Linked DNA regions of Caenorhabditis elegans. The protein of the gene in region 1 purifies or fractionates together with the protein of each later gene. This does not show direct contact. Each region holds a gene or a part of one and is shown in the gene's direction. Other genes may lie near its edges. The genes, in order: gst-5, sdz-15, gldi-6 and lip-1.

Region 1 (3,695 bases):
GTAAAATTAAAAATTGTGTTTCAAAAATTATTTAAATGTATATTTCTCAGATATTTGGTCAGCAACTTGTGTGGCGTTTGAACTTTTCGCTAATCGAGTTCTTTTTAAAGGAAAGGACACTAAAGATCAGGTAGTTACAGTCAAAAACTGGAAAACATGGTAATTTAGCTAATTTCCAGATTGTGTTGATAACTGGAGTTTTCGGATATCCTACAGACGATGATATTAAAAGCATTGGAGTAAAAAGGCCTAGAGTTGCAAGAAAAGATGCGAGAGGAATAGAAACGGTAAAAATTAAAGAAAAAACCAATAAAACTAAAAAAGAAGCGAAACAAAGCACACTTGTCCACGAGAAGTACACACGCGCGCGCGCAATGTCGCGCTCCACTGAAAACAAATTGGCGCCAGTTTCAAATTATTTTAAATTCAAATAAAATTTAATTTCAGTTCACCAGCAAGATGCTCGACTCGGAAATCTACGATTTCATGAAAGCAACACTGAAAATCGATCCGAAAAAGAGAAAATCCGCGATTGACGTGCTGAAAATGCCCCTTTTCGATATTCTACGATCGAGTCCACCGAAGAAGCGATCAAACGGAGTTGAGATGCCAAATCTCGCGAGTTATACGGAAATGCATCACAAAAGGGAGCCGGAAACGGAAGTGGTGGCAGATATTCAGACAACTGAAAAGGCTGAAAAGGAGTCGGATTCGACGAATGAAGAATTGGAGGATTAGAGAACTTTTCGAGAAGTCTACCGTTGTAGTTTTCGAAATAGTAATTTATTTAGTGACGTTTATAAAGGTTTACATGATTTGGTTTGGAAATTTTTTAGGAGTTTATTCATAAAAACAAAGTAACCATGGACATTCCAGAAGTCTATAGTACACGCGATCCTACCGTACCCTTCAGTATTTCTATCAGATTGATAGCTTTCGGTAGTCAGGTACAGCCTAAAAAATTCCTGCTTGCCTTTTTGCCTACATGTCTGCCTACCTTCAGTCATAATGCCTACATAATGATTTTTTCCAATTGAAACTTGCAGACAGAAATTCAAATGGCAAAAAGAAACAAACACCGAAACATTAATCACATTTCTTTTCATATCAGTTTTCCTGTCAAAGCACATTTCTGGAGTCTGTGTGTATTTTTTTGTGTCTTTATGTGATCGGTGTTGTGAAATTTGTAGTTGATGTTGATAACATACTTTTTTTTGAAACAAAAAGTGATTGATTAGGCTTGAATTCAGAGATATGTTCGTGATACTTTGCGATTCTCGAGCCAAAAACACGGTATCCGGTCTCGACACGACAACTTTTTCGCAAAATACAAGCTGATGTGCGCCTTGAAAGAGTACTGTAATTTCAACCTTTCGTTGTTGCGGAATTTTCATAGTTTCTCGTTCAAAATATATGTATTTATTAAACAAAAAACTAAAACAAAACAATTGAGAACACATAAATTGTGAAAAATCAATGAGACCACAGCAAAAAATTTTGTATCTACAGTACTCTTTAAAGGCGCACATCCGTTCTTATTTTCAGCAAAAATGTCGCTTCGAGACCGGGTACCGTATTTTTTTTTGTGCAAAACTTTAGGTCTAGGTAATATTAAAAAAAAATTCCACAAAACTAGAATCTAGAGCTTTCCATTAAATTTTTTGATGACATTTGAAAATTCATGATGATTTTTTTCCAACAATTTCGAAATATCCCTCTTTTCACCTGGTCCACTGAATTCTCTTTCCGAAAGACCACCACAATTTCAGGGCTCCGCCCATTTCGTGGTTTGTAGCCTTCCCGACCCTACGTTTTTGATGACAATTGTGAGAGAAGTGAGAGGTTCAGACACAAAAAGCGACGTGGTCGAATGAGTATAAATAGAGAGTGAAGTTTCCAATTTCCCTCACAATTGTTTGTTTGCAATCCACTTTCCAAAAAAACACAACTTCAATCAAAAATCATTATGGTTTCCTACAAGTTGACCTACTTCAATGGACGTGGCGCTGGAGAAGTGTCTCGTCAGATTTTCGCCTATGCCGGACAACAATACGAGGATAATAGAGTCACTCAGGAACAATGGCCAGCATTGAAAGAAAGTGAGTTTGGAATTATTATTACTCAATTGTGAAGGCGCCTGGGTCTCGAAACGACTTAAAATTCGCAGTTACCGTAACCAAATTTTTTTTTGCGATTTTCTATGATTTTTTTCCTGATTTTTTTCTACAAAAAATCATATTTTTTGGGTTAGTATTAAAAAATTAAGTGAATTGCAGTTTTGGGTACGGTACCAGTGAAATTTCGGTCGTGCCGAGACCTATAGTTACCGTATTTCAGCGCCGGAAATCTCAAAATCCTGCAATTAGGGAATATCTACAGTTTTGTGGAACAAAAACATGAAAAGCGAAAAAAATCACTTCTCGTGGTCTCGACACGATTTCTACATTTTTGACCAATTAAAGAATTCACTTCTTTTGAAAAACTATACTTTTTCCATAATTTTCTCAAACATAAGCTAAATTTTTTGTAAAATAACTTTGTAAAATAGCTTAAAATCTTTTCCTTTTTTTAATCCAAGAGAATTATTTTTTGAATAAAAAATATTTTAAAAAACTATTTTTTCCAGCCTGCGCTGCTCCATTCGGACAACTTCCATTCCTCGAAGTCGACGGTAAGAAGCTTGCTCAATCCCACGCGATTGCTCGTTTCTTGGCTCGTGAGTTCAAGCTCAACGGAAAAACCGCCTGGGAAGAGGCTCAAGTGAACTCTCTTGCCGATCAATACAAGGATTATTCAAGTGAGGCTCGTCCATATTTCTACGCTGTCATGGGATTCGGTCCAGGAGACGTTGAAACTTTGAAGAAAGACATCTTCCTTCCAGCATTTGAAAAGTTCTACGGATTCTTGGTCAACTTCTTGAAGGCTTCGGGATCCGGATTCCTTGTCGGAGACTCTTTGACCTGGATTGACTTGGCTATTGCCCAACATTCAGCTGATTTGATTGCCAAGGGAGGTGATTTCAGCAAGTTCCCAGAGCTCAAGGCTCATGCCGAGAAGATCCAGGCGATTCCACAAATCAAGAAATGGATCGAGACCCGTCCAGTCACACCATTCTAAATAGCTGTATAAAATCTGCAAATAAATATTTTTTTTTTTTAAATTCAGTTTATCAACATGTCAACAGTGTTCGCTAAGCGATAATACAACTGGAGAATTGGAGAACAGAAAACAGAGAACAAAAAATGAAGAAAATCAACAAAAAGAAAATTAAACAATTTCGAGATCAATATGCGAGGAGGTGCGAATAAATGTGAATTTTCGGGGGGCAGGATAAAACATGGTGGGATATGTAAATAGATTATGTGAATATAATGTGGATGCATAAAAATATAACACGAACATCTTTCGAAAAATATATATTATATATACATATTAGTCGTCTCCAAACGCCTCCAGGTGATGCTTCGTTGTGTGTGCGTTATCGCCAGTGGCTCCACAGATTCCACAGACCATTGAGCGAAGTTTTGGGCATCTGAAAAATGATAATATCTGTTGAAGGTCGGAAATTTCAACAAACTTACACAACTCTTCCCCTTTTCTTCGAGCAGTGATCGGACCATGGTCCACGATCATCTTTCCGTGGAGCTGGCAAAGTGTGAAGTCTCGCAAATTCGGAAGCGGTTCCGAAGCAGAAG
Region 2 (3,787 bases), on another chromosome or scaffold:
CGAAATGGTGAACCCTCACTTTTCTTAATTAATTATATTTTTTAATCTGAAGTTTTAGGTTTAATACCAAAAAGAGATTTCGAGACGCAAGGGCGGCTGAGAAACGTGTTGCATGGCTATCAGGGATCCCATACGTCAATGACGAAGATCAAAGTATAGAAATATCTGAAAAACTAGAAGAGAAGAGTACGAAGATCTATACAATGAAAGATTTATTCACTTCCTGGACAATTGCATATCGTACAATTGTGGTCGGATCTTTGTGGTTCTCTACAAGTTTATCAGCGTTTGGTTCTGACTTGAATTCTGGGAATTTGGCTGGAAATTTTTATTTGAGTCAGTTTGTGTCCGGTGCGGTGACCGCATTTGCAAAAATTGTGAGTGCATTTTGAAGTTATTAACTAAAATGTAAAGTAATGATCACATTATTTTCCTAGTTGTACGTCTCACTTAAATTTAGAATTGAAGCTGTGTCTCAAATAGACTCAGAAATAGTGAACAATATTTTCGGCCGAACTTTGAATGTTTTATAGCACTTTTGTTAATAATTATTTCAGTTTGTATTCCTATTGGATACCTATGTTCCATCATTTGACCGTCGGCGTCTACACCAATATCCTCAAATTGCCATGATTTTATGTTATTGTGTTATCATGGTTCTGATGATTCTTCCTGAATCAGACTGTGGAAGTCAAGGATCTCGCGATTTGGCTAGTAAGTTTGCCTGCAAATTAAGGTTTCCACTGTGAGCAGGCTCGCCTACATGCCTATTTTATTTTGGGTGCAATTAGAAAAAAGATTGTGGTTACAAACAAGTCCCTTGTTTTTTAGAGTTCTACAAATAATGTATTTTAGTCATCATAATTAACATCATCGGTGTTTCCTTCATTGAGATCACATGGGATGCATGTTATCTTGTAGCAGTGGAATGTTTCCCAACTAAAATTAGAACTATTGGTAAGTTAGTTTTGAATCTTTTAACATCAAATTATCTATTTTCAGGTATCGGTACATGCTCCCTACTTGCCAGAACCGGAGCCTTACTTGCTCCTCAAATGGCTTATCTCTCTGATATCTATCGACCAGCTCCGTACGCAGTTGTTTGCTCAATTGGTACAATTTCCCTCCTGATATCTTGTGTTTTCCTACCAGACACAAAAGGAGTTGATTTGGCAGCACTTGATCCAACTGAAGAACTTGATTACGATAGAAAGAAGAGCATGACGGAGAATATTGTGATTCAGAGAAAAAGAACAGGAACTTTGGCGGCTGCTAGATTATCAATTGTTGAAAATAATATAAATGCATAAAAATAGAACATACTAAACATAACAAATTGTGCACAAAAAGTGCTGTTTTTTTTTATTACGGGACACATGTTGTAAGTATCTGCACCCAGTTTTTTGAACACTTATTTCAAAAGATATTGCAAGAAACAAAATACCAAACAAGAATGCTCGATTACTTGATGCAAGTACACTCTCTGAAAATGCCACTGAAAAATTTAAAATTGGAAATGATGATCAATACAAAATGTCTATATAGTATTTGGAAAGAAAAGGATACTCCAATCGATCAATAACGTAGACACCATCAGCCACGCCTTCTTACACATCGTCTCATTTCTCATAGTCATTACCATATTATCATCAGGAGAGCGTCCGTATTGCCTTCTCCAGGGGAGACTCGAACATTTTCGTTTACAACTATTTTTAGACATTCATTCTTGTATTCTACAGTCTCTGTACCTTGTCATCTTGTGAATATTCTCTCATTATGCTTTCTCCTTCTTCGTCTACCGTCCCAGCCTTTGGTCTCCACAAACTCCCTCACTTGGTCTCGGATAAAGTGGTGAAGTCAATGGTCCCAATGGAACTGTGAGTTTATTTTAATTTTGTTTTTAAATTTGAAAAATTGTATTTTAATTCTTCACATTTTATATTATATTGCATAAACAAGAACTTTAAAAAATCCCCAATAGGGATTTTTTGAATTTGTTGAGTATTTTGGAACATAACTCTCAAAACTTATATAAATATAGATTCAAATTTACAAACATAACTGCACCTTTCTAATCATTTCGATACATTTTCTAAAATTATTTTCATTTTAAGATTTACCTACTCCATGGTAGCCGAAGAAACAAAGGCTCTCGTGAAACGGCTCTTCAAAAAAGTTTCATTTCAAGTGAGCATCTTTGTTCAAGAGCAAGACTATTCAGTGTCTTTTGGACAAATCGGAGGAGCTATATCCAATCTTGGATGTGAAGTTTTGAGCCAAGAAAGTGAGCAAGTTAATGGAACACAAATATGGAAAATGGACGAGAATACTGAAGTACAAATGGAACATTACTACGATGGTCAGATTTGTAGAAGCTATTGGAAGATGAAGAAGGAAACTGAAGCGATCTTAAAAGTTCTAGACTATCTCCGATCAGTGTTCAATGTGAAAGAAGTTTCAGTCAGCTTTTCTATTGATGAGAAATATGATGCTGTGGAGTTCTTGAAGTCGGTTAAAAATCGAGGAGTTCAACTCAAAAATGTGAATATTACTGGCTTTGAAGTAACGTTGGAAGCGGAGGCTTATAAAAATCTCCTTAATGAATGTACAGAAACATCTGAACTCAACGTTGCCCCTCACGTAAACTGGGGATTTGAGTATCCTGTTTCAAACTTTTCCAACTTTTGCCAAAAGTTTTTGACAATTGAGCATGCTCATTGGGTGACTGTTCATCATTTGAAATCTTTGAGAAACTGTGCGTCTGTAACTCTTAACAATTCAAAGTTGACAAATCAGAACTTGAATTGGTTTCTTCGAGAATGGATGGAAATGAGCGGAGCTTCGTTGCGAAACGTGGATTTGGAAGTTAAACAACTCGATTTACCACGGATTATTAATGGATTGAAATGGACAATAAAGGAAGGAATTATCTCGGGATTCGGAGGGTGAGTAATATTTTCAGTGTTTGCTAGGATGAAGAATTTAGTAGATCTAAAAATCGCATCTCTATATTCAAATTTAAAACTTAACTATACAACAAACTATTTCAGATTCCAAAAACTACCACCAGGAGATTGTTTTGAGATTCAACGAATTGACGGAGTCAAAGCGACAATTTCTCGAATCGGAGAACGTTTTCTGATGACCAGAGATTGATTATTAATAATAATAATAATTCCCAATGTGGTTTTCTAATAAATTGCCTAATTGTTCTAATAATATACTGAAATGAAAGTTTTTTTTTTCGAATAAATTGTTTTCTATCTATTTATTGCTATCGGAATCACAAAAAAAAAATTCTCTACACATTCTTTAACCTATTTTGAAAGATAAGCTGAAAGACACATTCTACATTGAAAAATAATCGTCAACCAATCAGCGATTTTTGCCACGCCCCGTGCTCGTTTCTCATTGGTCGCCGGGATATTCAATTGCGCGCGAACTTGAATTTCACCTAGGCAAATGAATATCGTTCTCGACATTTATTTAAAACTTCATTGTTGCGAAAATCGACCGTTGACCTATACTTTTCCGGTTTCATGATTTAATCAGCTAACCCATTTCCGATCTTTCAATTTTTTAATCCCCTCCGTTTAACTTCAGAACTACCTATAGGTCGCGTTTACTGATAAACCTAAAAAGCCTGATAAGCCTAATTCGAGACGAAAATTTGTCATTTGCCTGTGCAAATTGTTTTATCAAAGTGAGTTAGGCAAATACGGTTTGTCCATTTAGGCATGTCGTTTCTGAATATTAATCGCTTTCATATTTTGTGTTTTTTTTTATG
Region 3 (7,596 bases), 7.5 Mb from region 1:
ACATTATTCGAGTTGTCCATTTTTCGCGAACAATTCTGAAAATATTATATTTCAAAGCATTTCGCGTTTTTCTGGCATTGAAAATCAGTTTGTAAGCATTAGACTGTAATGAGAAGAGATTTGAAATTAAAAAAAAAAAAAAAAAATTTTTAATATGAGCAATGCGCGTCATTTGCAATGCAAAGTCCGTAAACACTCTGCGTACTTCCTCGTCTACCGTAGTTTCTTCGAAAATTTCGTTCGTGAACATTTTTCCTTTCAGTTTTTCAATTTTGTTCAGTTTTCTTGAGATTTTTGGAGTTTATTTTCCGAATTGTTCTAGAAAATATCTAATTACGCCAGAAAATGTGGTTTTATTCGCAAGCATGCTGTTGTAACCGCTAAAACACCAATATCTCAAAAAATGTTTTTTTTCAGATTCCAAAATGTCGGAGCCGAGCAATTTGGTGTCTAAATTTCAAAAACTTCGCGTTGAAGCTTCCAAGATACAGAATGAGTTTAAAGAGGTTTAGTTTTCGAGCTTACACATTATAAGAACATCAATTTTCTTCCAGAAACCCAGCTATACGCTGTTCAAAGAGACTCTGGACATAAGCGAGAAGCTTTTGGAAAAACAATTCGAATTCAACGATGAGATGAAGCAAATTCAGCAGAACGTGATGTCGGAGTTGAAATCTGTGAAAAAAGAACTGAAACAGGCGACATCAATTAAGGATCTTCTTGAGATTCTCGAAATAATCCAGAAGATTTTTAAAAAACAAGACGAATTTCAGCAAGTCCAGGAAAATCAAAACAAATCGATCGAAAATTTGAATTCGGAATTGAAGACTGTCAAAGCAGAGCTGAATGAGACGAAAAAGCAACAAGAGTCTCAGGAAAAATTGATCGACAATTCGGATAAAAACTTGAAACTGATTTTAGAATCGATATTGAAATTTCAGAAAAGTCAAGATCAGATTATGATGAAGATTATGGAAGGATCAGCTGTGCAAGACGTCCCACTTGGAACTGTAGAATTGACAAAAATTGACCCATTTTTTGAGATTTTGGTTATCTGGACCGAATCGTGTGGCATATTCGCGTCTGAAAACCACTGGAAACTTCGCGTGTGCGGATCGGATACAATTCGACACATCAAACTTCGCATCAATTCACTTGCAAAAGTAGACATCAGCTCGTTCAGAATGGTGCTTCGTGGTTGGTTGGTTTCAAAGTAGATTTAAAAATAAAATTCGAATTTCAGGAAAACTTCTCGAAGACCACCACTCTCTCGCCTACTACAACATTCAAGAAGGCGCATTAATTTGGCTATACTCTCGTTGAATCATAATTATTCTAATTTTCATTCACTTTTTTCAAGATATTGTTATTTTGCGAATAAATAATTGTTAACTAAAATTGTTCGCTTTTCACAGATTTTTTTTAAAAATGATTCTGCAATCATTTGGATATTTGATTTACTCAAAAATAAAAGCAACTTTCTTGGTTTTCGGTTCTTGTTCAGTTTTTAGAGAGTTTTTTCTCGAATTTACCTGGGAAATTAGAAAAGTTAACTAGGAACTTCTTTGCATTTCAAAAATTATCAAAAAGCTTTTTTTTTTCAGATTTAAAAATGTCGGAGACAAGCAGTTTGATGTCTCAATTCCAAAAACTTCGCGTTGAAACTTCCAAGATATACAATGAATTCACAGAGGTGAGAATAATAATAATAATTTATTACGCTCGCTGGGAGACGTGAAGGAATACAGAATACAAAAGTTATCATTGTTCGCTTGAACTAGAATTGGTGCAGTCGGGCAGTTGTTTCCATTCCATTAGAATGTTGTCCTTGTCCTTGCTTGTCCTTGCGCAGACTCCCCCATAGTGGGCGAACGATTCCCGAGTGAAAAAAAAGATTTTGAAAAAACACGATTGTCAAAAAACCCAGAAAAATCAAAACAGGGTGATCGAAAATTTGATATTGGATTTGGAGATGGTCAAAAATGAGACTAGTGATATGAAAAAGCAACAAGAGACTCAGATTTTGAAGGAACAAGACGAATTTCAAGATGAGATTAGGCAAGAATTTCTGAAAATCCAGGAAAATGAAAACAAATTGATCGAAAAGTTGATGTCGGAATTGAAAACTCTCAAAACAGAGCTGAATGAGACTAAAAATCAAATAAGTGACCTGCATAATGCAACAAAGCAACAGGAGTCTCAGGCACAATCGATGAATGATCTTCTAACCAAGAATTCGAATAATAATCTGAAAATGATGCTGAAAATTCAGGAAGGTCAAGATCGGATTATGATGAAGATTCAAGAAGGAGCTGCTGTGAAAGACGTCCCAATTGAATCTGGAGAATTGGCAAAGAATGACTCAATGTTTAAGATTTTTGTTTCCTGGTCCATTCCGGGTGGCATATTCGTGTCTGAAAACCGCAGGAAACTACCAGTGTACGAATCGAACACAATTCGACAAATCAAACTGCGCATCAATTCACTTGTAGGAATAGACATCGGCTCGTTCAGCTCGTACTGTGATGGTCGGTTGTTTTCGAAATTGCTTTTTAAAATAAAATTTGCATCTCAGATAAAATTCTCGAAGACGACCACACTCTCGCTCACTACAACATTTCGTACAACAATTCGCGTATTCTCATAATTCTCCATTTTTGCTCATTTTCAACTTGAATTTCACCGTTAATGACAATTAATGAATCTTTTTTTGTTTCAGAATCCTCAAGTTCATGGAATTCTCCAGCTCATAATTTTTTATCGATTTTTTTAAATTATTGCCGATACTAAAGTTCCCGGCAGTTTGCGAATAAATAATTGTGAAAATCCAAGAAAATCAAAACAAATTGTTCGAAAATTTGATGTCGGAATTGAAAACTGTCAAAACAGAGCTGATTGAGACGAAAAATCAAATAAATGGTCTTCCTACCAAGATTTCGGATAACAATCTGGAAATGATACTGAAAATTCAGAAAAGTCAAGATCAGATGAAGATTCAGGAAGGAGAATTTGCGAAGAAGATCGAAGAATCAGTTGCACCTGTGAAAACACCGCTGGAAGCCCCAATTGAAGATAAAAAATTGGATAATAAAAAACCATTTTTCAAGATTACTGTACATTTGCATGGAGGTCCTAATGCATCCGTATATGGAAGAAAGTACAATCATCTCGTGTTCGATGCGCATACGATTCGTGATCTTAAAGTGCGGATCAAGGCACTTATTATGCAGTCCAGTCCAATAAAACTGAGAACCGAATTGTACAGATTGTTCTTTGTTTGTTAGTTTAAATCCCCCTTTCTTCATAATTTTTTAATTATACTTTCAGATACACTTCTCGAAGACCACCAAACTATCGCTTATTACAAATTCAAGAAGGCTCAACACTTGACCTGATTCCGCTATAATTTTTTGAATTTTATCGATTTTTTCTTGTGAATAATTTATAGCTCCCTCACTTTATTTGCCGATTGAAAAAATTAAAACATATTTTTCGATTTTCACATATTTAATTATTTAAAATTATTTTTGCAATCATTTGGATATTTCCTTGATCAAAATTCAAAACTGCAAAAAAACTTTTTTAAAAAAATTTTTGCGCGTAATTTTAAGTGCAAAGTCTGCAAACACGTTGCGTACTCCGCCACCTACCGTAGTTTCCAATGAAAATTTGCCTGAACATCTTTTCCGGTTTTCTTGGTTCTTGTTCAGTTTTTTTTTTTGAAAAGTTCCAATGATTTTTCGAGTTTCTTTTCCGTATTTTCCCTTAAAAATATCGAAATTAACTAAAAAATGTGGTTTTATTTGCAAAAATTGTCTAGAATCAGCTTTGTTAAGCGGTTTAACACGAAAACCTTTCAAAATGTTTTTTTTTTCAGATTTCAAAATGTCGGGGCCAAGCGATTTGATGTCTGAATTTCGAAAACTTCGCGTTGAAGCTTCCAAGATTCAGAATGAGTTCAAAGAGGTTTAGTTTTCGAACTCACAAATAATTAAAAATCAGTTTTCTTCCAGATACCCAGCTCTGCGGATCATAAGCTGATCAAAGAGACTCTGGAAATGAGCCAAAAAATTTTGAAAAAACAAGACCAATTTCAAGATGAGATGAAGCAAGAATTTTTCAAACATAACTACAAAATCAAGCAAGAATTTCAAAAAATCCAGGAAAAGCAGAACAAATTGATCGAAAATTTGATGTCGGAATTGAAGACTGTCAAAGCCGAGCTGAATGTGACGAAAAATCAAATAAATGGTCTTCTTGCCAAGAATTCGGATGAAAATTTGGAACTGATTCTAGAATCGATATGGATAATTCATAAACGTCAGGATCAGATGATGATGATGAATCAGCAAGGAGAAACTGTACATTTTTAATTTGGCTGCTAAGCTCATTTATCTTCGTTTTTTCTCGTTTTTTCTCATTTTTATCGATAAAAATATATTTTTTGTTGCAGAATATCACAAAACCGCAACGGAAACGCGTCCAACAGCACAAAACGGTGCCGAATTCAACAAAAAAGTAGGTTTTTTCCCATTTTCTCAAAAAAATCCCTATTTTATGTAATTTGCAAAAAAACACATTTTTTGCGCGTAATTTGAAGCGCAAAGTCCGCAAACACGTTGCGTACTCCGCCACCTACCGTAGTTCCCTTGAAAATTTGTTTTTGGTTCTTGTTCAGTTTTTTGAAAATTTTCCAATGCTTTTTCAAGTGTCTTTCCAGAATTTTTATTTAAAAATATAGAAATTAACTAAAAATGCGGTTTTATTTTCAAAAATTACACCGAATGAGCTCTTAAACCTCAAACACGAAAACTTTATTAAAATGGCTTTTTTTCAGATTTAAAAATGTCGGACCCAAGAGATTTGATGTCTGAATTTCAAAAACTACGCGTTGAAACTTCCAAAATACAAAATGAATTCAAAGAGGTGAGAATATCAGAATTAAAACTTTAAAAAATCAAATTGTTTCCAGAAACCAGGCTACGTGGAAGATAAACTGCACAAGAACACTCAGGAAATTTGCCAACAGATTTTAAAGAAACAAGGCAAATCTCAAAAATCCCAGGAAAATCAAAACGCGTTTATCGAAAATTTGATGTCGGAATTGAAGACTGCCAAATCAAAGCTAAATGAGACCGAAAATCAAATAAGTGACCTGCATGAAGCAACGAAGCAACAGGAGTCTCAGGCAAATTTGTGGAATGATCTTGTTGCCAAGATTTCGGATAAAAATCTGGAAATGATGCTGAAAATTCAAAAAAGTCAGGATCTGATGATTATGAAGATGCAGGAAGGATCAGCTGTGCAAGACGTCCCAATTGAAACTGAAAAATCGGCAAAGAATGGCCCATTTTTTGAGATTTTGGTCATCTGGACCGACTCGCGTGGCCCAGTAGTTCCTGGGAACCATGGGAAGCTTCGGGTGTGCGGATCGGATACAATTCGACAGATAAAACCGCGCATCAATTCACTTGCAGGAATAGATACCATCTCGTTCAGAACGTTCTGTGATGGTCGGTTTTTCTCGAAGTAGCTTTTTAAAATAAAATTTACATTTCAGATAAATTTCTCGAAGACGACCACACTCTCGCCCACTACAACATTCGAGAAGGCTCAACAATTTGCGTATTCTTTCATTAAATCATAATGTTTTATCGACTTTTGTTCAAGATGTTGTCTAAAGTTCCCCATTTCTTAAAATAAATACGAACAACGTATCATCGTTTTTTAAAATTTATTTTTAATAGTTATTTTCAGTCATTCAAATATTTTATTCGATCAAAAACTCCCTATTTTAATTTGCAACAAAAAAAAACAATTTTTTATGCGCGTATTTTCAGGTGCAGAGTCTGCGAACACGTTGCGGACTCTGCCACCTACCGTAGTCCCCTTGAAAATTTGTCCGAACATTTTTCCCAGTGTTGTTTGTTTTTGATAAGTTTTTTGAGAATTTCCAATTATTTTTCGGGTGTCTTTTCCAAATTTTTATGTAAAAATAACGAAATTAATTAAAAAAGTGTGGTTTTATTTGCAAAAATTACAACGATGCCTTAATAATTTTTTTTCAGATTTCAAAATGTCGGAGCCAAGCAGTTTGATGACTGAATTTCAAAAACTTCGCGTTGAAACTTCCAAGATACAAAATGAGTTCAGAGAGGTGAGATTTTCATATTTAAAGTTGAAAAAAATCAAATTGTTTCCAGAAACCAGGCTACGTGGAAGATAAACTGCACAAGAACACCCTGGAAATGTGCCAGAAAATTTTAAAGAAACAACACGGATTTCAAAAAACCCAGGAAAATCAAAACAAATTCATTGAACATTTGATATTGGATTTGGAGTCTGTCAAAAAAGAAACTAGTGATATGAAAAAGCAACAAGAGACTCAGATTTTGAAGAGACAAGACGAATATCACGACGAGATGAAGCAAGAATTTCAAAAAATCCAGGCAACTCAAAATAAATTGATCGAAGATTTGATGTCGGAATTGAAGACTGTCAAAAATGAGACTAATGATATGAAAAGGAATCTCAGGAGAAATCGATGAATGATCTTCTTATCAGGAATTCGGATAAAAATCTGGAAATGATGTTGAAAATTCAGGAAGGTCAAAATCAAATGATGATGAAGATTATGCAAAGATCAGCTGTGCATGACGTCCCAATTGAAACTGGAGAATTGGCAAAGAATGTCTCATTTTTTTATATTTTTGTTTACTGGTCCGATTCGCATGGCACATTAGCGTCTGGAAACTATCGAAATCTTTGGGTGCGCGGATCGGACACAATTCGACAAGTCAAACTGACCATCAATTCACTTGCAAACGTAGATATCAGCTCGTTCAGAATGGTGCTTCGTGGTTGCTTGGTTGCAAAATAGCTGTAAAATGAAATTTGCATTTCAGATAAAGTTCTCGAAGACGACCACACTCTCGCCTACTACAACATTCAAGAAGGCTCAACACTCGGTCTTTTCTCCCCTTAAATTCTAATTTTTATCGACTTTTTCTCTAAAAGAATGTATAAAGTTCCCATCTGCCATTATGTAAATAAATAATTTTTGACAACAATTTTTTGGATGTTTTTATCGCAAACAACGTTTTCAACAATCATTCGGATATTTGATTTGTTCAAAACAAAAAATGCAAAAAAAAAACAATTTTTTATGCGCGTATTTTCAGGTGCATAGTCCGCAAACACGTTACGTACTCCGCCACCTACCGTAATTCCCTGTGAAAAATTATCTGAAAATTTTTCTTGTTTTTTGGTTCTTGTCGAGTTTTTTGAGAATTTCCAATTATTTTGCGAGTTTTTTTTCGAATTTACTTGAAAAATTATGGAAATTAACGAAAATTATCAAAAAATGTGTGTTTTCTAGATTAAAAAATGTCAGAGCCAAACAATTTGATGTCCGAATTCCAAAAGCTCTGCGCTGAAACTTCGAGAATACAGAATGAGTTCAGAGAGGTTTAATTAACTAACTAACAATTTTAAAAATCAATTTATTTTTCCAGATACCCAGCTCTGCGGGGAATGCACTGCTCAAGGACACTCAGGAGATGTGCCAGAAGATTTTGAAGAAACAAGACGAACTTC
Region 4 (5,526 bases), on another chromosome or scaffold:
TATTTGTCATTCTGATTTCTGCAAAAAACACAAAAGTGGGGGAGGCCACTCCATTTTGGAGCTAATAATAGTGTGCTCCAAAAAAAACTTTTTCATCTATCTACGTCAAAACTTTTCGGCCGTCGTCCTATTTTTAGGCTCGTCGTTTCCTCTCCATTTTTTCCTTTTTTCGGCGGCGTCACAACGAATTAATGAATTTATTGGAGCGAAAACGTTGCTCCGACGGGGCGGAGAAGGGCACACTAGAATTTATGAATGGTGTGCTCTTCGAATAGAAAAAGAGCACCTGGAGGCAGCAATTGCTTCAGATTTTTTAAAATCTAGTTTCACACGTATAATCTTACGATCCTCTTCGATGTGCAATGTAAGCGACCGACATTTTATGGGGGTTTTCGAAATTTCAAAAACAACCCGTGAAACGTCGGATGCATTATATTTCCTGATTCTATGCAATAAACAGTTTATAGATCAAAAATCAGATCCCAATATTGCTAGAATCTCCCAAATGAAAATGAACTTGACCGTGGGAAAATTTTTAAAATATCTAGCCAAGGATTTGTAGACAAATCGTGCGAAAATCGGTCCAAAAAAACTCACATTCTTCGAGTGTTCTCTTCTCGAGATCCACCTCCGCGCCTATGATTTCTTCCTTCCATTCTTTTTTCTCTATTTCTCCAACCAAAAATAGTAAGGAAAAAATAGTGAAAAAATGAAGGTCACTTCCTTTTTTCTGTCTCTCTCTTTCCCATATCAATCACCTGATTTGCGATCATCGCCATGTCTTTTCTCGCCCTGTTATTTTGCTGCTAAGTTTGTTTTTTTTTTCAGTTTTTGTTGTTCTCCTACACCGCTTTCCGGTGTTTTCCCATTGGTTAGTGATTAATGATTACAAGTTGGAAATGCCAACATTTTGATCTGTTCCTATTGGTTTTAGAATTCTCGAGGTTTAAGGTTTTCATTTGAAATGGAAAGTATTCTTTAACTTAAGATCATACATTTTTTCCAGTATTCAACTCGTAGAGTATATAATCTAGTTTTACATATTCCCACATTTCCATAGTTTCACCATTATCTCCGACGGAAGCTGTACATGTTTTCCTAAGATTTTATTATAAAACTGATTATCATGAAAACTTATCATTACTGATAAGAGACGCATATTTCTCGTGGGCGCCAGCGCCCACGGATACCTAGGAACTCAAAAGTGAAATATTTCTTTTTGATATGAGCGCATGATGACGAGCCAAGGATTATCCCTCTCTCACAGCTTCTTTTCTTCGTCCCGTAGATCTGTTTGAGCCATTCTTAGCGAGGATTGTCGATTTAGCAGTCGACGCGCATGAATTTTGCTCAAAAACACTGATATTTATTGAGAATTTTCATGCTCCATTTTCAAAAAAAAAAGTCTCTGAGATATTTGCAGGTATTTTATTCGGATAATTTTTATTTTGTACTGGTGTGTCTTGTTGAAGGATGCCGCAGCACATTCAACTATCTAAAAAAACAGGCGAATTTTAATTTTATTAAATTTCAGTTCTTCAATTAAATAGTTTTGATTGAATTATGAATATTTTTATATATCTAGATTTGAAAATAAATTTCAAACCCATAAAAATTAAATATTCACATGTCGTTGCGCCATGCGCCTTTAAAAAATGACAGTACTTCCATAATTTCAAACGCGGGAAAAAATTAATTTGATTTTCTATTTTTTCGCTCATCACATCGATTTCCCAAATTTTCTCGAATTTTTTTTCTCAGAAGAGTTTTTGATTTTTTCTAAATTATCCCGCTGACGCTGCCCACTCACAGAATATTTTATTATCGATGAAATGACTCCTACGTATTTTCGTGTCTCCCCGCTGTTTCACCAGTGTTCTATTATTTCCAAATTTGATTTTTAAATTTTAACTTCACAATTTTTTTGCTATCAGATAAAATTTTTTTTAAAAATATTTTCAGATGACAACTCACCTACCGAGCACATCTCAAAATGGCGAAGAGATATCTGCTGAGCAATTCAACAGGTGATTTATTTAATTTAATAACAATTTAATCAATTTTTTATTTTCAGGATATTTCACGAACGCAACGTCATCGTTCTGGATTGTCGATCAAATGGTGATTCAGTGAAACGAGCCAATCGGTTAGTATTTTAAATTTATTTTTCTCGTAATCAAAAAATCTAAAAACCTTCTAAATAATAAACAATCTCGGTGTAGATTCTTTTGCAGTCTTCGATTACCGGCTCTCCTTCAACGCCGTTTAATGGGCGGTTCAATGCGACTTTCAACAGTACCTGATCTGAAGGATCTGAATGTGAGTTTATTATTATTATTTTTACACATTTATTTCAATAAAAACGGACAGAAAACATTAAAATTGTTCGAAAAATACTGAAAATCATTTTCAGAATTCTCCTGATCAATGTCCCGAAGTTCTTCTCATCCCCGGCGACAGTGAACAAGACGAGCAGCTCTCGGCAGCTTTAGCTCGAAATCTGAAATCCAACCACTATCGTCATTTTGTGCTCGGCGAGCCTGTCAAGACACTTCTCTCCCAGTTTCCGACCCTTCGTGATGCAGCCGACGAAAATTGGAACACCACGTTTCAAATGAACTCGATGCCGGGTCAAGCAAGTGGGCAACAAGCATCAAGTGGACCGCTTCTTAACTTAAAGTTAGTTTTTTTAATTAAAAACTTATTAAGTTATTTCTAATTTTTTTAAATTATAAAAATTAAAGATTCGATCCGTGAATTTTGATTGTGAAGAAATTTCATGTTTTCACAGCCAAATTAGCATGAAATATCTTTTCAATCTTATACGAATTAATTTTCATTCGAAAAAGGAAATAAATCAAGCAATATCGAAACTTTATTGAAAAAATAAACGAAAAAGCAGTGGAAATCGGCCCGACTCTATTTCTGTACGACGCTGCTTTTTTTCAAAATTTCCCAGATCGATCCTTTAATTTTAACAGTATAACCAGGTTTGAAGCTCCAAAAATGCATGTATTGTTAATTGAAAAAAATTCCAGAAAACAGTAGATAATTTTTATTTTCCAGCCAACTCCGATTGGAAGGTGAAGATCAAGGCGGAAAACAACGTGCAGAGTTTCCTGTAAAGTTAACCAATTTCTTGTATCTTGGAAACGCGGAGACCGCTAAAAATCGAGATGTTCTTAAAAAGTGACACTATTATTCGATATTATATATATTCTTAACAAAAAACCCAATTTTCAGATATTCTATCTCACATGTAATAAATGTCACATCAAATTTGCCAAACACGTTCGAAGAAGACCCAAATATGCGATATTTAAGAATATCGGCCGATGATAACGCTTCACATAATCTAACAAAATTCTTCCCTGGTTTGTAATTGATTTTTCTGAGTTTTCTTAAAAATATTCCTTTTCAGAAGCCATATCCTTCATTGATGATGCGCGACGCAACGATTCAGCATGTCTTGTGCATTGTCTGGCTGGAATTTCCAGAAGCGTTACAATATGTCTGGCGTATCTCATGAAGACTGAAATGTAATTTGATTTAGATTTTATAGATTAAAAAAAATTGATATTTTTCAGGTGTACTCTTGATTCTGCCTACGAATGGGTTCAAAAGAGAAATGCAAGCATTGCTCCAAATTTTCATTTTATGGGACAACTCACAGACTACGAGAAGATGTTGGGATTGAATAGCAATCGAGTCGGGGTTAGTAGGCAAGCTGTAAATTTTGATGTTCACTTTTTCTGCATTTTTAAATTAAAGAAAAAAGAGGAGAACTCCCCAGAATCAAGAATTTTAGCCGAAACTGCAGTTTAAACTGTAAAATCGTGCAGAAAAATACATACTGTGTTGTTCACGTGTAGTACACCGTAAATCGACACAGGTTGCTGCCTTTGTGGTTCAAATCCTACCCGTTGATTGCTTATCCGTTAGAATATTTTAATAAATCGTCCTTCTTCTACAAATGTTCTTTTAGTGATTTTTTCGTATTTCAGACATATCCTTCCTCGGCTCCTCGTTCTCCATCTTGTGCCATCGAAGCAGCAGCAGTATCACAAGTTGGAGGCCTTCTAACTCCACCACCAACAAGCTGTTCGGCGTCACCTCAATCGAGTAATCACTCGGCAAAGTCATTTCACTAGAAGAATTCACCCCTTCTTATAATTTTTCATCATATTTTTTCATCCATTTTTATCGTCCTCATGCAGCTAGATGTACAAATAATACAACTCTACTACCTGTTATGTTTCCTAGTTGTCATACCATTGTGATATTCTTTCTTTTTGGTAGATCCACTTCCTGTCCCATGACTGTCCTTTTTTATGTCTCGACGTTCTTTTCTCTTGTGAAATGACCCTACCATGATGCCTGTTTTACCAAATCAATAATTTTAAACCACCACCACCACAACGACACGTGTCTCTTTCCCTTTTCATTACCGTATAGTTCATTTCCCCCACTACGACACTTTCCATACAATCTCTGTACCTTATTTTTCTCTCATTTGTCAGACTTTCAAAATTGAGTTTTCTCTTTTTCCCATCATCTCCCCTAAAACCACTTTCCCGAGAAAATCCGCAACATTGTTATTGCCATGACCTTACTTTTCCCTCCCAATTCTCAATCAGCACCACCATTTCCTGCTATCACACTTTCTCCCCATTCACTGATTTCAGCCTCGTCTAATTCACCTAAATTTTCATAATTGTTCTCGATTTTATCTTTTTCTTCTCTCATTCAAATCACCGACTCTGAACTTTTTAGTGAACGCCGAGTCTTTGATTCCCCCCCCCCCCCCCCCAATTTAGTTGAAACATCTATATATACGCATACAAAAATGAAAAAATTCCTACAAAATCATATTTAGTTTTGTATGGTCAATGATTTCATCTTCCATTGTCGTCGCCGCGTGAAATTTGGAGTTTGTTATGACAATTGCTTCAGAAGTTTGTCCAAAATTGTTCAAAAATAAAATTGAAACAGCTGAAGCTTAAAATTATGTAGGCTCTGAAACGAATTTCTTAATTTTTAAAATTTTTGATTATTCCAAGAAATCGACTTTTAAACTTCATACATTCATCATAGATTATGTAAATTTGAACAGTACAAGAATTAAACGGCGATAGAAAAAAAGAAACATAATCGCCAACAGATGTGAACAATTGAGAAACCTGTGGAAACACGGAAACAGACAAAAAAAAAAGATTTTTGGACATCTGGGAGTACAGGAAACATATGGTTTTGAGAAGGTTAGAATTATTTGAAAATGCTCTGAAAGGAGATGAGATCAAATTGAAATGGGAGATGCATGGAAGAATATTATATTATGAATAAGAATCGATTATGAATTGACAATGAGATTTTCGATGTAATCCTTAATAAAACACGCATTCCACAATTCGAAATGGGATCAAATGGGTTAGTGTGAAATAATTAGATAGATGTCACGAAACAGTAAAAACTATGACATTGGTCGAATTTGTGAAATATCATATCAAAATGGTGCTTAGATCATTT

What was found.
Region 2: the proteins of gst-5 (region 1) and sdz-15 purify together in Caenorhabditis elegans (affinity purification with mass spectrometry, with the first as the bait; one large-scale study listed by BioGRID). This does not show direct contact.
Region 3: the proteins of gst-5 (region 1) and gldi-6 purify together in Caenorhabditis elegans (affinity purification with mass spectrometry, with the first as the bait; one large-scale study listed by BioGRID). This does not show direct contact.
Region 4: the proteins of gst-5 (region 1) and lip-1 purify together in Caenorhabditis elegans (affinity purification with mass spectrometry, with the first as the bait; one large-scale study listed by BioGRID). This does not show direct contact.

The regions. Positions count from the first base shown.
Region 1 is NC_003280.10:10,948,447-10,952,141, forward strand, and holds gst-5 (putative glutathione S-transferase 5), read left to right. Parts: upstream 1-1,905; 5' UTR 1,906-1,966; coding exon 1,967-2,099; intron 2,100-2,626; coding exon 2,627-3,117; 3' UTR 3,118-3,157; downstream 3,158-3,695. Other genes in the region: Putative serine/threonine-protein kinase gskl-1, read left to right, coding at 51-130, 180-287, 448-738; nos-1 (Nanos-type domain-containing protein), read right to left, coding at 3,433-3,532, 3,582-3,695.
Region 2 is NC_003281.10:6,496,868-6,500,654, forward strand, and holds sdz-15 (Skn-1 dependent zygotic transcript 15 protein), read left to right. Parts: upstream 1-1,608; 5' UTR 1,609-1,776; coding exon 1,777-1,877; intron 1,878-2,114; coding exon 2,115-2,945; intron 2,946-3,050; coding exon 3,051-3,156; 3' UTR 3,157-3,243; downstream 3,244-3,787. Other genes in the region: F23F12.13 (Major facilitator superfamily (MFS) profile domain-containing protein), read left to right, coding at 1-7, 59-377, 558-714, 856-957, 1,003-1,310; F23F12.3 (SLC22 family MFS transporter), read left to right, coding at 3,738-3,787. UniProt on the Caenorhabditis elegans protein: May have a role in embryogenesis.
Region 3 is NC_003280.10:3,445,345-3,452,940, forward strand, and holds gldi-6 (Ubiquitin-like domain-containing protein), read left to right. Parts: upstream 1-1,602; 5' UTR 1,603-1,612; coding exon of another isoform or gene 1,613-1,693; intron 1,694-2,272; coding exon of another isoform or gene 2,273-2,528; intron 2,529-2,575; coding exon of another isoform or gene 2,576-2,676; exon of another isoform or gene 2,677-2,824; intron 2,825-2,861; coding exon of another isoform or gene 2,862-3,279; intron 3,280-3,327; coding exon of another isoform or gene 3,328-3,395; intron 3,396-3,885; coding exon of another isoform or gene 3,886-3,966; intron 3,967-4,013; coding exon of another isoform or gene 4,014-4,361; intron 4,362-4,453; coding exon of another isoform or gene 4,454-4,522; intron 4,523-4,837; exon of another isoform or gene 4,838-4,845; coding exon of another isoform or gene 4,846-4,926; intron 4,927-4,972; coding exon of another isoform or gene 4,973-5,513; intron 5,514-5,560; coding exon of another isoform or gene 5,561-5,640; exon of another isoform or gene 5,641-5,714; intron 5,715-6,068; 5' UTR 6,069-6,076; coding exon 6,077-6,157; intron 6,158-6,203; coding exon 6,204-6,548; 3' UTR 6,549-6,860; intron 6,861-6,905; 3' UTR 6,906-7,068; downstream 7,069-7,596. Other genes in the region: C16C8.5 (Ubiquitin-like domain-containing protein), read right to left, coding at 1-20; C16C8.16 (Ubiquitin-like domain-containing protein), read left to right, coding at 426-506, 555-1,197, 1,244-1,323; C16C8.20 (Ubiquitin-like domain-containing protein), read left to right, coding at 1,613-1,693, 2,273-2,528, 2,576-2,676; C16C8.21 (Ubiquitin-like domain-containing protein), read left to right, coding at 2,862-3,279, 3,328-3,395; C16C8.25 (DUF4200 domain-containing protein), read left to right, coding at 3,886-3,966, 4,014-4,361, 4,454-4,522; C16C8.14 (Ubiquitin-like domain-containing protein), read left to right, coding at 4,846-4,926, 4,973-5,513, 5,561-5,640; C16C8.12 (SKA2 domain-containing protein), read left to right, coding at 7,387-7,467, 7,515-7,596.
Region 4 is NC_003282.8:6,841,002-6,846,527, forward strand, and holds lip-1 (Dual specificity protein phosphatase lip-1), read left to right. Parts: upstream 1-1,956; 5' UTR 1,957-1,962; coding exon 1,963-2,027; exon of another isoform or gene 2,028-2,028; intron 2,029-2,074; coding exon 2,075-2,146; intron 2,147-2,222; coding exon 2,223-2,319; intron 2,320-2,413; coding exon 2,414-2,679; intron 2,680-3,066; coding exon 3,067-3,189; exon of another isoform or gene 3,190-3,243; coding exon 3,244-3,374; intron 3,375-3,421; coding exon 3,422-3,539; intron 3,540-3,587; coding exon 3,588-3,714; coding exon of another isoform or gene 3,715-3,825; exon of another isoform or gene 3,826-3,963; intron 3,964-4,004; coding exon 4,005-4,151; 3' UTR 4,152-5,010; downstream 5,011-5,526.